Linked DNA regions of Callithrix jacchus. The protein of the gene in region 3 interacts with the protein of the main gene of each other region in a biochemical or structural test. Links are inferred from orthologs where the notes say so. Each region holds a gene or a part of one and is shown on either strand. Other genes may lie near its edges.

The links.
Region 1: the proteins of BCL2 (region 3) and PMAIP1 interact in a biophysical measurement, tested with the Homo sapiens proteins (2 studies listed by BioGRID and IntAct, with this or other methods). The link is inferred for Callithrix jacchus from reciprocal best matches to the Homo sapiens genes BCL2 and PMAIP1.
Region 2: the proteins of BCL2 (region 3) and NR4A1 form a complex in vitro, tested with the Homo sapiens proteins (2 studies listed by BioGRID). The link is inferred for Callithrix jacchus from reciprocal best matches to the Homo sapiens genes BCL2 and NR4A1.

What each region holds. Positions count from the first base shown.
Region 1 is NC_133514.1:102,886,339-102,890,619, forward strand, and holds the start of PMAIP1 (phorbol-12-myristate-13-acetate-induced protein 1), read left to right. Parts: upstream 1-1,474; 5' UTR 1,475-1,668; coding exon 1,669-1,726; intron 1,727-4,281. UniProt on the Homo sapiens protein: Promotes activation of caspases and apoptosis. Promotes mitochondrial membrane changes and efflux of apoptogenic proteins from the mitochondria. Contributes to p53/TP53-dependent apoptosis after radiation exposure. Promotes proteasomal degradation of MCL1.
Region 2 is NC_133510.1:67,441,053-67,444,997, forward strand, and holds the start of NR4A1 (nuclear receptor subfamily 4immunitygroup A member 1), read right to left. Parts: upstream 2,808-3,945; 5' UTR 2,613-2,807; coding exon 2,519-2,612; intron 2,297-2,518; exon of another isoform or gene 2,074-2,296; intron 1-2,073. UniProt on the Homo sapiens protein: Orphan nuclear receptor. Binds the NGFI-B response element (NBRE) 5'-AAAGGTCA-3'. Binds 9-cis-retinoic acid outside of its ligand-binding (NR LBD) domain.
Region 3 is NC_133514.1:106,292,009-106,296,086, reverse strand, and holds the start of BCL2 (apoptosis regulator Bcl-2), read left to right. Parts: upstream 1-1,268; 5' UTR 1,269-2,165; intron 2,166-2,388; 5' UTR 2,389-2,671; coding exon 2,672-3,259; intron 3,260-4,078. UniProt on the Homo sapiens protein: Suppresses apoptosis in a variety of cell systems including factor-dependent lymphohematopoietic and neural cells. Regulates cell death by controlling the mitochondrial membrane permeability. Appears to function in a feedback loop system with caspases.

The DNA.
Region 1 (4,281 bases), about 3.4 Mb from region 3:
ATTTTTGCAATATATTTTGAAGGCCAATTTAAACCAAACACTTCTAGAGAGTCCATGCAACCAAATTGCAATATTTCCATTAAACAGTACAGCTAATATGAAAACACACATTTTTTTTTTTCCTTTTCTTTTCTGAGGCTGTCTTATTTTGTCGCCCAGGCTGGAGTGCAGTGGCGCGATCTCGGCTCACTGCAACCTCCGATTCCCAGGTTCTAGCGATTTTCGTGCCTCAGCCTCCCAAGCAGCTGGTACCACAGGCGTGCGCCAACCCAAGGCTGGCTAATTTTTTGTATTTTACAAAGACTGGTTTTGAACTGCTGGCCTCAAGTGAACAAGCCTTCTCGGCCTCCCAAAGAGCTGAGATTACAGGCGTGAGCCACCGCGACCGGAGAAAACACACATTTTCCAAGAAACTGATTGCTGGGAAGGCTACAGTGGATAAGAGCGCTTGCTCTCTGTGGGACTGCGTGGGTCGGGATCACGGCAGTGCTCTTTGCCTATGTGAACTTGGGCAATTTTCTATAAATCTGTCTCGGCACCTGTAAAGTAGCGACGGTTACATGCCAAAGCTCTTAGCACGGAGCGACTCCCAGTAACCGTTAACTATTCCTAATTACCTCCTCATAATAGTAGACTTACTCGGGGCCTCGCCAAGTGTTGCATTAATAATTTCACTTTTCCAGGTAGCTCATCCCTCCCACAAAATATCTGAACGTTTTCCATATGATAATGATCCACTCGTTTTTGCTAAACATCCAGAATGGGCGATATCGACCTTTCTGGAAGGACACACACAAACCCCTTCCCAACTCAAACACGAAGTTCTTTCTGCCTGGCACCAGGGCTCGCGTTCGCAGTGACTTCCCGGACCCCGGCGCCTTCTCACAGGGCCTCTGGCTTCTCCTCTGCCGCGATTAATGTTCTCCTCATTTCCCCTCCCTGCTACTGCGCATACTCTCCAAGTTCGAAAAGTTTCCTTTTCCAATCTCTTTCCGGGGCTTGTTTACCCAAGTCTCTCTCTAATTGTCCAGGCGCCAGGTCTCTTCCCACCCACCAGCTTTCCTCCTGGGAATATCCTTCCCCTCCCGCCCCTCTCAGCTCCCGCCACCACTGCCGCGGACGACGTCCCGCTTTTGCAGATGCTCAGGCCGACCCTCTTCTCCTCCCACTCCCGTTTTGTAAGGAAGTAATTTGGGGCCCAACAGGGTCTCGCCCGCCGAGCGCTCAGCATCCCCCGCCGCGGGTCGGCGCCGCCGCGGGTCCGGAGCGTGTCCCGGCAGGCCGCGCTCTATGGGGAACTTCCCCGCCTGCCCGAACTTTCGAGCCAGCCGGGACCCAGTGTTTGCTCCAGAAACTCAGTCCGCGGGGCCCGGACAGGGGCGGGGACAGGGGGCGGGCCCGGCGTGAAGTTTTCCTACGTCACCAGGGAAGTCCCCCGCGGGAACAAAAGCACGGTCTCTGGCGCTGGGACCTCACAAGTTCCCTGGCACTCACGGAGTTCGCTCGTCAGCTCCGCGCGTCCGGCCACCCGATCCCGCCATCAGATCCCGCTACCCCAGCCTGCGGGTCTGTTCTGTGCGGCTCGCGTCCTGCGGACGTCCGAGGTGCCCCGGGCGGAGGCTGAGGCTCCCAGGCTCCGCAGCTGAGTGGGCTGCGGCACCGGCAGAGATGCCTGGGAAGAAGGCGCGCAAGAGCGCGCAACCGAGCCCCGCGCGGGCTCCAGCAGGTACCGACCCGCTGGGGCCCGCGGGGACTCAGGCCGGGCGGGGTCGGGTCCGGGGTCGAGGTATCGGTCGGGGCGGGCTCCGCCCGTCTGGGCTCGGGCACACACTGTCGGGGGCCCAAGGTCGGGCCAGGTCTGTGCCCGCGCGCCAGCCTTAGGGGCGCCTCCAGGAAGTTCTACAGGGGTTTTCCCCAGCCTCACTGGGACGACGAGAAGCCGAGCCCTATTTGGGATTGGGATGTAGCTGCGTCTCACCAGCGGCAAAAAGCTCCTGGCCTCCTCTCTTTCCTCCTCCCCACTTGCCCTTCCCCGGGGTCACGAGGAAAACAAGTGCAAGTGTATGAGGCTGCCTCTAGGAGAAAGTCATTGTCGCCGCAGAAGGGGCAGGAGAGGGCTCCGGGGACCGCCTGGACTCCTGGCGCTTCCAGAGACGGCCCCACAAGGGACCCTGTGTTCGGAGCTTAGAAATTCTAATAACCTTTAAATAATCGGTATTGTGGGATAGGAGAATAGGTGTTGATCCCTCCCTTTTTTCATTCATCCATTTCCACTCCCCGCCCCCATTCATACTTTTCAGGCCAGCCCCCCACCAGCCCCGGGTCCCATCCTTTTTATAAATCTAATCAGAGAACCCATGGTTCTGCCCCGGACCCACAATCTCTGGGGCCGTACTGCTGTTGCATCAGACGATTAGACGCCCCCGACCCGCCCCCCCCCCCACTTTTTAAGTTACTTTCATTTTATAGAGTTCGTGGGGCGTGCAAAGGAAGTGGTGCATTGCAAATGTGCCCATGCCTAAGTTGGTAACAGGCTGCTGTCTCTGCCTCTTGTGTAAGACGGAAAAAGCTTTGTCTACGTTTTGTGATGTCCAAGAATTCTGACCATGTTTTCTTGCCGAAGGATCTGACCTGTGCATAGCACTTTGTGGTTTGACTTAATTTCCAAGAACAAGAAGCAGCACAAAGTCCCTCTTAAACTTGATTTGATACTAATATGTTTATAGGTAACTGCGATTTTTAAAAGTTAAGGAAACAACTGGGAACTATTTTCTGCCTTTTTTTCTACTTTTTTGGTGAGACGGATACAGGGCTTCCAATGTTGGGTGCTGAATGGTATTGGTTTTTCTTTTAGAACTGTGTATTAATGTATCTCAATCTCTGTCGACAACATGTCTATGTAAATACTTCTTATATAGGCCGGGTGCCGTGGCTGACGCCTGTAATCCCAACACTTTGGGAGTCTGAGGCGGGCGGATCGCGAGGGTAGGAGATCAAGACCATCCTGAGTAACACAGTGAAACCCCATCTCTACTAAAAATACAAAAAATTAGCCAGGCGTGGTGGCACGCGCCTGTAATCCCAGCTACTCGAGGGGCTGAGGAAGGAGAATCTCTTGAACGCGAGAAGTGGAGGTTACAATGAGCTGAGATTGCGCCACTGTATGGGCGACAGAGAGAGACTCCCTCTCAAACAGCAGCAAGAACAACAACACAAAACTTCACAAAATGTTTGATCTTGTAGCCCATAAAGAATAACGTCTAATGAGATTTATTAGGTCTCTTGGTGTAGGGGTTAGGAAGGATTTCACTCAGCTCTTGTAGAGAGAAATTAGTTGAAATGTAGGTTTAAAATTTTGCTTTACTATGTACTTACAGTTATTTATTTTGAGCCTAAATGTGGTCTTTTCGGGGTCGATTATAAAATAGGCCATATTTTAATTTGTAATCATGATTTTTCATGTATATAATCATGAAGTAGACCCAAAAGACCTCAAGCTGCTCTTTGAAATAGTTAAGAAAAATTGAAATTATCGTCAGTATAGGTGTGATATTATAGTCAGTATAGTGTTAATTGCACTTACTGAACAAAGTGTACTTGGAAATTATAGGCATTATTTTTCTTAATATTCATTTAGAATAACTCAATTCCAAAAAGTAGGAAACATGTGAATTAAACATTACTTGTTTACTGCTCCTCTCATGTCCATAAAGGCAATGGATTGGTACAGAATGGGGTTGTAGGAAGAAGTGGGCTTACATTAAAATAGAAATATTTAAATTATTTTAGAGAATGTAGACAATTTTAGAATACGATTTTATGAGTCTTCTATGAGAAAATATCAGAGTTTTTCAGTGAGAAAAAGAATACATTTAGATTTGCCTATATAATGAGAGTGTAACCTAAGTTGTAAATTATTGCCATTTGAAAACCAAATCCTACTTGAAATCCACACAGAACTTGACTTCTGTTCCCCAGACAACCTTAAATGAAGGCTAAGAAGATGACATCATCTGAGGCTGGTAAAATGACTAATGTTACTCTTTGTAGTATTTGCCATATTTGAAGGTAAAGGTAACACTTGCCTCATCCAGGATGTATTTAAAAATAATTCAAAGTAAATGTCTTTATTTTATTTTATGGATTGCTGTTGGTGAGTCACAATGTGTGTGTGTGTTTGTCACATTTGGAAAACAGGTGCACATAAAGCCGAAGTTAAGAGAAATGCTTCCTGGGTTACTCAGTTTGTCACTAGTATGGGCATATTAGGTCTTACTGGTT
Region 2 (3,945 bases), on a different chromosome or scaffold from region 3:
CTTGGAGGAGGCGAAAGTGGCTGGTCGAGGTGGCTCACGCTTTGGGAGGCCAAGGCAGGCGCATCACAAGGTCAGGAATTTGAGACCAGCTTGGCCAACATAGTGAAACCCTTTCTCTACTAAAAACACAAAAACCAGCCGGGCATGGCGGCACACGCCTGTAGTCCCAGATACTTGGGAGGCTGAGTCAGAAGAATCACTTGAACCCAGGATGCGGAGATTGTGGTGAGCCAAGATCCCACCACTGCACTCCAGCCTGGGTAACAGAGTGAGACTTGTCTCAAAAAAAAAAAAAAAAAAGGAGGACAAGTGACCCCCAAAATGGGGTGGAGCATCAGGCCAGACTTTAGTCCTTAGCTACTGCTCCCCACCAATTTCATTTCCCAGCCATTCACTGTGCTCCAGTCATGTGGGCCTTCTCTCCCCACTCAGGGTCTCTGCACTGGCCATTCCCTCTGCCCAGAACTGGCTCTTCCTTATCAATCAGGTTTCATTTCCCATGTCATCTCCCTAAAGGGCCTACATCCCCACCCCACCACACTAGCCTAATTTTATTCACCATAGGTCTTGTGTTCACATCTGTTCACTGGTTTATCACCTTTCTAACCAACCAGAATCTAAGGATGCTGTCCCCCTCAATCACTGCGGAGTCTGCAGTCTCTAAACCCTGCTCAGCACTGGCAGGTGCTCAGAAGGGAAGAGCCTTCCAGCTCAAGAGCTATCCCTTCCTTTTGGGGGCAGATCCAAGCGCCAGAGCCTTCTTCCTTATGTTGAATCACAACCCAGATTCTAAAATTCCCCAGCCCTGGATCCCAGCTTTGCCCCCTGTACTGGCCAGTGGGAAGCCTCATTCTAGTCCTTCCTAACGAGTACTTTAGCCATTTCCTAACTAAACTGCCTGTTGCAACAGGATACCACTGACAGGCCCTCTGCCTGACAGGCCCTGGTGGCCTCCTGAGTACAAGCTCTGCATTGGCCAATGTCCCCACCCAGAAATGGGCATATTACTATTATTAGCAATAACAACAGCAGCTAATATACTTATATATATAAGTATAAATATAATATAATATATAAAAATATATATATTATATATATATAATAATAAACAGCAGTTAATACACTTAACAGTGTATCTGACAACATGTGCCAGATACACTGTTAAGCACTTTAGACACATTGTTTCATTTCAGCCTCCCAATGCTATGAGGAAGGGATTATAATGTTAAGCAACTTGTCCAAGGTCACACAGCTAGGAATTGGCAAAACTGGGTTTAGAACCCAGGGAGCCCAACCAAGGAGTCCAAATCAAGCATCCTTCCTCCCCCTTGCCACCCGCTTGGACCTGTGTAGTGGATGGAGGGTACACACTGCACAGAGCAGTCCCACAGCCTCTGTCCAGAGAGCAGGTCAGAAGCTAAGGGCCTTTGAGCCAGGCACAGGGCCTGAACTCCTCAGCTGATTTTCTTGAGTCCAGCACGGGCCTCAACCGGGATGTCAGTCACATTCACATTGTTAATCTCAGCCCATCCTTCTGCCCAGTCGCCTGCAATTAGAATCTTGATGTTATCACACTGTAAGTGTCACTCCTCACAGCTCTGGGTGACTACAAGGAGTTGGCTGACTTCCTGTTTAAGTCTTCATCCAAGTCACTGATAAGAACGTTCACTTGAGTAGGTCTAGGGGCAAGCCTTGTAGCCCCACCACTAGGGCCCCAGACCAGGCCGACAGCAGCCCCCAAATCCATCAGCACCCATTGGGCATAACTGTAGGGAACCTAACGACCTCTGCCCAGCCTGCGTTTTCCCAATGTGCCCCTAATATAGCCCTATACCCAAATTCACAATTCACTGAAAACCACCTCTGCAGCATTTCTCGAGTCCACCAGGTCATCTATCAAAAATGAAGACATAAAAAGGGAATGAGAGAAGTCAAGGAACTGTGCCCCGGGCCCTCAACACAGACCACCAGGGTAAGAAGGTCTGGAAATACCCGCCCCCACCCCACCCAATGTAAGGAGGGAAGATGTTGCGGCAAACAACAACAACAACAACACGCCTGGGAGACACGAACCCCGAGTCCTAAGCCCCAGCTCCGCCTGACTCCACGAGATCCCCAGCCTTGGTTCCTCGACTCAGTCCCGCTAAGGGGCTGCATCGCGCAGCATCGGTCCCTCTCGGCTGGGTCTCCTGGCAGACGAGCTCCCGCGCTCCTGGAACCGGTTCCCGCAGCCGGCGGGGAAATGGAAGGAATTTCTCTGGCCTGGCCACCTCCAGCGCCCCTCGTGGGCCAAACCCCACCCTTGGCGGGCTGGGGAGAGAAAGCCTTGGCGGTCGCTCTTGGGGGCTGACTCGGAGCCAGGAGGTTCCGCTGGGAATCCAGTCCCTCTCCCCGACTCCCCTAGTTTCCAAGCGGGACTCCCGGCATGGCCCCGAGCCCGCCCCAAGGCATCCACCAAGGCCCCGAGACTGCCCGGCCTCTCCCGGGCCCACCTCCAGCCACCCCGACGGCCCCTCACCTGACCCTGCGGGCTCCGCTCGCCTCTCCACCCCCGCTTTCCGGGGTCGCGCCCCAGCAGTCCCGAAGCTGCTCCGCGCCGCAGGGGCGCCCATGCCGGCAGGCCGGGGGTCGAGGGTGCCGCGCTGGGATCCCGCCAGTTCCGCCGCCACCGCCGCCTCGCGCTCCTGCAGCCGCGCCGCCGCTCGGCGCCCCCCGCCCCCGGGTAGCCCCCCGCCCGCAGTTCCGGCAGCACCGCGCTCCCCGCCCCCGCGCCCGCGGCCGCCCGCGCTCTGCCCCAGCCCCGGCGCACCTCCCCCGGCGGGAGGGGCGGGGACCGTGACGCGCGCCCATTGACGTCTCCGGAATCCCGGCGGCGGCGGCCGACGCAGCCTCATCAATGGGGCTAAAAATAGCGGCGCCCGGAATAGCCGCGAGCGCCCCGCCCCGCGGCTCCCCCCACGCCGCACACCCGGTTACATAACCCGCCTCCTGCGGCCGGAGCCGGGGAGCTGGTTCTCAGGTGAGGGAACCGAGGCCTCACTCACACCTCCCGAGGCGGCGCACCCGGGGCTAGGTTATAAATAAACTTACCTGGGGCTTCCCCAGGAAGAAGTGGAAAGAGCGAGGCTCAGAGAGGCTCGGTGGCGGCCCACAGTCACACAGCAATTCGTCTGCTCGCGAAGACAGGGCCTGGCCTTTGAGTCTGCGGGCGCCTTGCCTGCATCGCTTGGCCTTCATGCCACCCCAAGAACAAAAAATCCCAGGTAGCAGGGCACCCAGCTTCCACACGAGAAGGCAGCTTATAGAAAAAAACGACTTCCTCAGAGGGTGAGATTTCTCCTGAAGAGGGCACTTCCCGAGGAGCGGGAGCAGGCCGCGGCAAAGCCCAGGTGATGGATTCACTGATCTGGCTGCTCCCATGCCACTGTGTGGCCTAGGGCAGTCGCTTGACCTCTCGGAGCCTCAGCTTCCTCAGCTCTAAAATGAAGATGATATGTCCGATTATCCACCCTTTCTGGTTGTCAGGACAATAACAGCTGCAGAGGTGCCTTGTACACAGTATACCCTCGGAGCTGGTTCTCCTCCCTGCTCTCCCCAGTCCACAAGAGTGCTTAATGCTCTCAGTGGCCCACCGCCGTGGCCAGGAAGCCCTGGGAGGCCCACCCTCGCCTAACCAGAGTCTCCAGGCCCAGGCTTCCACGGTAAGAATCTTCCTGGGGCTGCAGGCACTTGGAATGTTCCTGTCTCCGACGTGACTGGAGCCGTCTTTGGAAATGGGAGAACCATCCTGTCCTGAGCAAATCTTTCTCCCCCAGCAGCTGCCCACTCAGGAGTGGCTGGTCAGGAAGGCCAGGCAGGCCAAGGTTGGAGCAATGGGGTTGGGGCTGACTGGGTGGGATTGGGGGGAACCATCCTCTCCTTAGCAAATCCTTCTCCCCCAGCAGC
Region 3 (4,078 bases):
GTGTGGATGTGTATATATCTGCGTACATCATTTGAGAAAGTGCGGCCATCTAGGATTGGCTACAAGGCAAAGGTGGAGAAAGGTGGAGACCTTTAGGAGCCCACCCACCCCAGCGTTAGGACGGTGGGCCCGAAAGTTACTATGCAGAACTCTTCAGCGTGCAGCCCTGACCCAGTGCAGAACGTGTTAGGGACAGAGGAACAACACGGACTTAAATTATTTTAAAGCCCTTGATAACCCCTCGCTGGCTCCTTCCGTGGAGCGCTGAGTTCTGCCTGGCCTTGGCCACGTACTGGATATTCACGGGGACACCGGCGAGAATGCGCGCGCGTGTGTAGTGCGCCGACACCTAGTAATCCACTTGAAAGTAAACACTACGCTGGGGGCGTCCCTGGATATTGCTTAAAACGTTTCAGAGTCGCCTGTTTTCACCGCAGGGCAGAGCTAAGGTCCCCCTGCTTGGGGGTGGGGGGTGGGGGTGGCATTGGCCTGGGTCTTCCCCCGGGGGCAGAGCGCGGGTAACATGGCGTGTGTGTGTGTGTGTGTGTGTGTAGGCGCGTGTACACACACACGGCTAGAAAGGGTCCAGGCGACACACACACACACATACACTCACTCTCTCACTCTCTCTCTCTCTCTCTCTCTCTCTCTCTCAGTCGGCTAGAAAGGGTCCAGGCGGTTCCCGGCGCTTTTCCAGCCCTTGTTTTCATGGCGCACCCTCCCGCCAGCCGCCCCCCTCCGCTCTCCGTCGCCGGCCGGGCCGCGTGCGGTTCCCCGGCAGCCCCCACCCCCTCGCGGACCCCGAGGTCCGCGCCCGGCCCTCCACAGGCCTGAGCAGAAGGCCCGCTCACACCCACCGCGCCGCGGCCGCGCGGGAGGCCTGCGCCGCCCGCGCAACCCGCGCCACCCACCGGCCGGGCCGGGCGAACGCAGCGGAACGGGCGGGTGGCCGGCCCGGGTGCGCCCTCCCCGGTCGCGGCCCCGCGCGCCATGTGCCCCCGGTGGGGTGCGCCGCTCCCGGGCCCGCCGCGGCGCCTTTAACCCGGGCCAGCGAGCGGGGCGGAGGGGGCGGTCGGGCGGCTCAGAGGAGGGCTCTTTCTTTCTTCTTTTTTTGAATGAACCGTGTGACGTTACGCACAGGAAACCGGTCGGGCTATGCGGAGAATGAAGTAAGAGGACAGACACCCCCGCCCCGCGCCCGCCCCCTTCCTCCCGCGCCCGCCCCTCTGCGCCGCCAGCCCGCCCGCCGCGCCGCCCGCTCGCCGCTCGCCTTGGCCCCGCCGCGCCGCCGCCGCCGCCGCTGCCAGCGAAGGTGCCGGGGCGCCGGGCCCTCCCCGCCGGCGGCCGTCTGCGCTCGGAGCGGGCTGCGCGGCGGGAGCTCCGGGAGGCGGCCGCAGCCAGCGCCGTCGCGCAGGAGCAGGAGGAGGAGAAAGGGTGCGCAGCCCGGAGGCGGGGTGCGCCGGTGGGGTGCAGCGGAAGAAGGGGGTCCAGGGGGGAGAACTTCGTAGCAGTCGTCCTTTTTAGGAAAAGAGGGAAAAAATAAAGCCCTCCCCCACCACCTCCTTCTCCCCACCCCTCGCCGCACCACACACAGCGCGGGCTTCTAGCGCTCGGCACCGGCGGGCCAGGCGCGTCCTGCCTTCATTTATCCAGCAGCTTTTCGGAAAATGCATTCGCTGTTCGGAGTTTAATCAGAAGAGGATTGCTGCCCCCGTCCCCGGCTCCTCCGTCGTCCCCCCTCCCCTGTCTCTCTGCCGGGGAGGCGTGAAGCGGTCCGGTGGATAGAGATTCATGCCTGTGCCCGCGCGTGTATGCGCGCGTGTAAATTGCCGAGAAGGGGAAAACATCACAGGACTTCTGCGAATACCGGACTGAAAATTGTAATTCATCTGCCGCCGCCGCTGCCTTTTTTTCTCGAGCTCTTGAGATCTCCAGTTGGGATTCCTGCGGATTGACATTTCTGTGAAGCAGAAGTCTGGGAATCGATCTGGAAATCCTCCTAATTTTTACTCCCCCTCCCCCCGACTTCTGATTCATTGGGAAGTTTCAAAGCAGCTATAACCGGAGAGTGCTGAAGATTGATGGGATTGTTGCCTTATGCATTTGTTTTGGTTTTACAAAAAAGGAAACTTGACAGAGGATCATGCTGTTCTTAAAAAATACAAGTAAGTTCTCTGCACAGGAAATTGGCTTAATGTAACTTTCAATGAAAACATTTGAGAATTTTTACTTAAAGTGCATTCGAGTAAATTTAATTTCCAGGCAGTTTAATACATTCTTTTTAGCCGTGTTACTTGTAGTGCGTATGCCCTGCTTTCAGCCAGGGCATACAGGAAAATGCACCTGATTTTTTTAACTTATGAGTTTGTTTCTTCTTTAACCTTTCAGCATCACGGAGGAAGTAGACTGATATTAACAATGCTTACTACTAACGTGCCTCATGAAATAAAGATCCGAAAGGAATTGGAATAAAAATTTCCTGCGTCTCATGCCAAGGGGGAAACACCAGAATCAAGTGTTCCGCGTGACTGAAGACACCCCCTCTTCCAAGAATGCAAAGCACATCCAATAAAATAGCTGGATTATAACTCTTCTTCTTTCTTTGGGGGCCGTGGGGTGGGAGCTGGAGCGAGAGGTGCCGTTGGCCCCCGCTGCTTTTCCTCGGGGAAGGATGGCGCACGCTGGGAGAACAGGGTACGATAACCGGGAGATAGTGATGAAGTACATCCACTATAAGCTGTCGCAGAGGGGCTACGAGTGGGATGCCGGAGATGTGGGCGCCGCGCCCCCAGGGGCCGCCCCCGCGGAGGGCATCTTCTCTTCCCAGCCCGGGCACACGCCCGGTCCCGCCGCGCCCCGGGACCCGGTCGCCAGGACCTCGCCGCCGCCGCCCCCAGCCGCCCCCGCCGCCGCCGCCACGGGGCCTACGCTCAGCCCGGTGCCACCTGTGGTCCACCTGACCCTCCGCCAGGCCGGCGACGACTTCTCCCGCCGCTACCGCCGCGACTTCGCCGAGATGTCCAGCCAGCTGCACCTGACGCCCTTCACCGCGCGGGGACGCTTTGCCACGGTGGTGGAGGAGCTCTTCAGGGACGGGGTGAACTGGGGGAGGATTGTGGCCTTCTTTGAGTTCGGTGGGGTCATGTGTGTGGAGAGCGTCAACCGGGAGATGTCGCCCCTGGTGGACAACATCGCCCTGTGGATGACCGAGTACCTGAACCGGCACCTGCACACCTGGATCCAGGATAACGGAGGCTGGGTAGGTGCACGTGGTGATGGGAGTCTGGGCTGAGGCTGCAGGTCCGAGATGTGGGGGTTGGAGTGCGGCGGGTGGGCTCCTGGGGTAAGGGGAGGCTGTGGGGCTGGTGAAATAAAATCAGGGTTGTTGCTTCCCGGCGTCCATAACCTCTTCCTCTGGACAAAGTGTTCTTTCCCAACCTGAGTGATGACGCCTGCCCTCTAAAAGTCTTTAACTTGCTCGCTAGTTGAGGAGGTCCAGTAGGATGTGGTGGTCAATGGTACCCCTTCAGTGTTTCTCGAGCTGGAGGTCCAGGAGTCCCCAGGACCACAGTTTCCTGGCCTGAGCAGCTTGTTGGGACCGGAGGGAGGTTTCAGGGCCTGCTTATGAACCAGATGCCAGGTTGGGTCTTGACAGTCTGCATCCTAAACAAGCTCCCCTGAGACACGCCCCTGGTGCACTTAAATTTGGGAACACCCCAATGAGAAGAACAGACTCCACAGAAGACTAAGGGTACGCTTTTTCTAACTCGGTAAAATTTTCCAAAAGAGGAAAACCAACCTGAGTCCCTTTCCCTGGAAAACTTAGTTGTGTTTGTAAAGAGCTAAATTGACATTCCAAAGTCCTTGCACTGGAATCTCCAGTGTGTGCCATATTTCCAGTGGGCGTGACGCAGTGTCTTGAGGGGTATTGGTCTATGGCTTTGCTACCTCGTCAGTGACAGAATTTGCATCGGCTGCATTCTTTATGTTCTATAATTTGTGTATGAGTTACTAATTCACTAGAATGTTGTTAGAATCTTTTGTTTTTCACTACCTAGAGTCGACATAATTTTGTGGT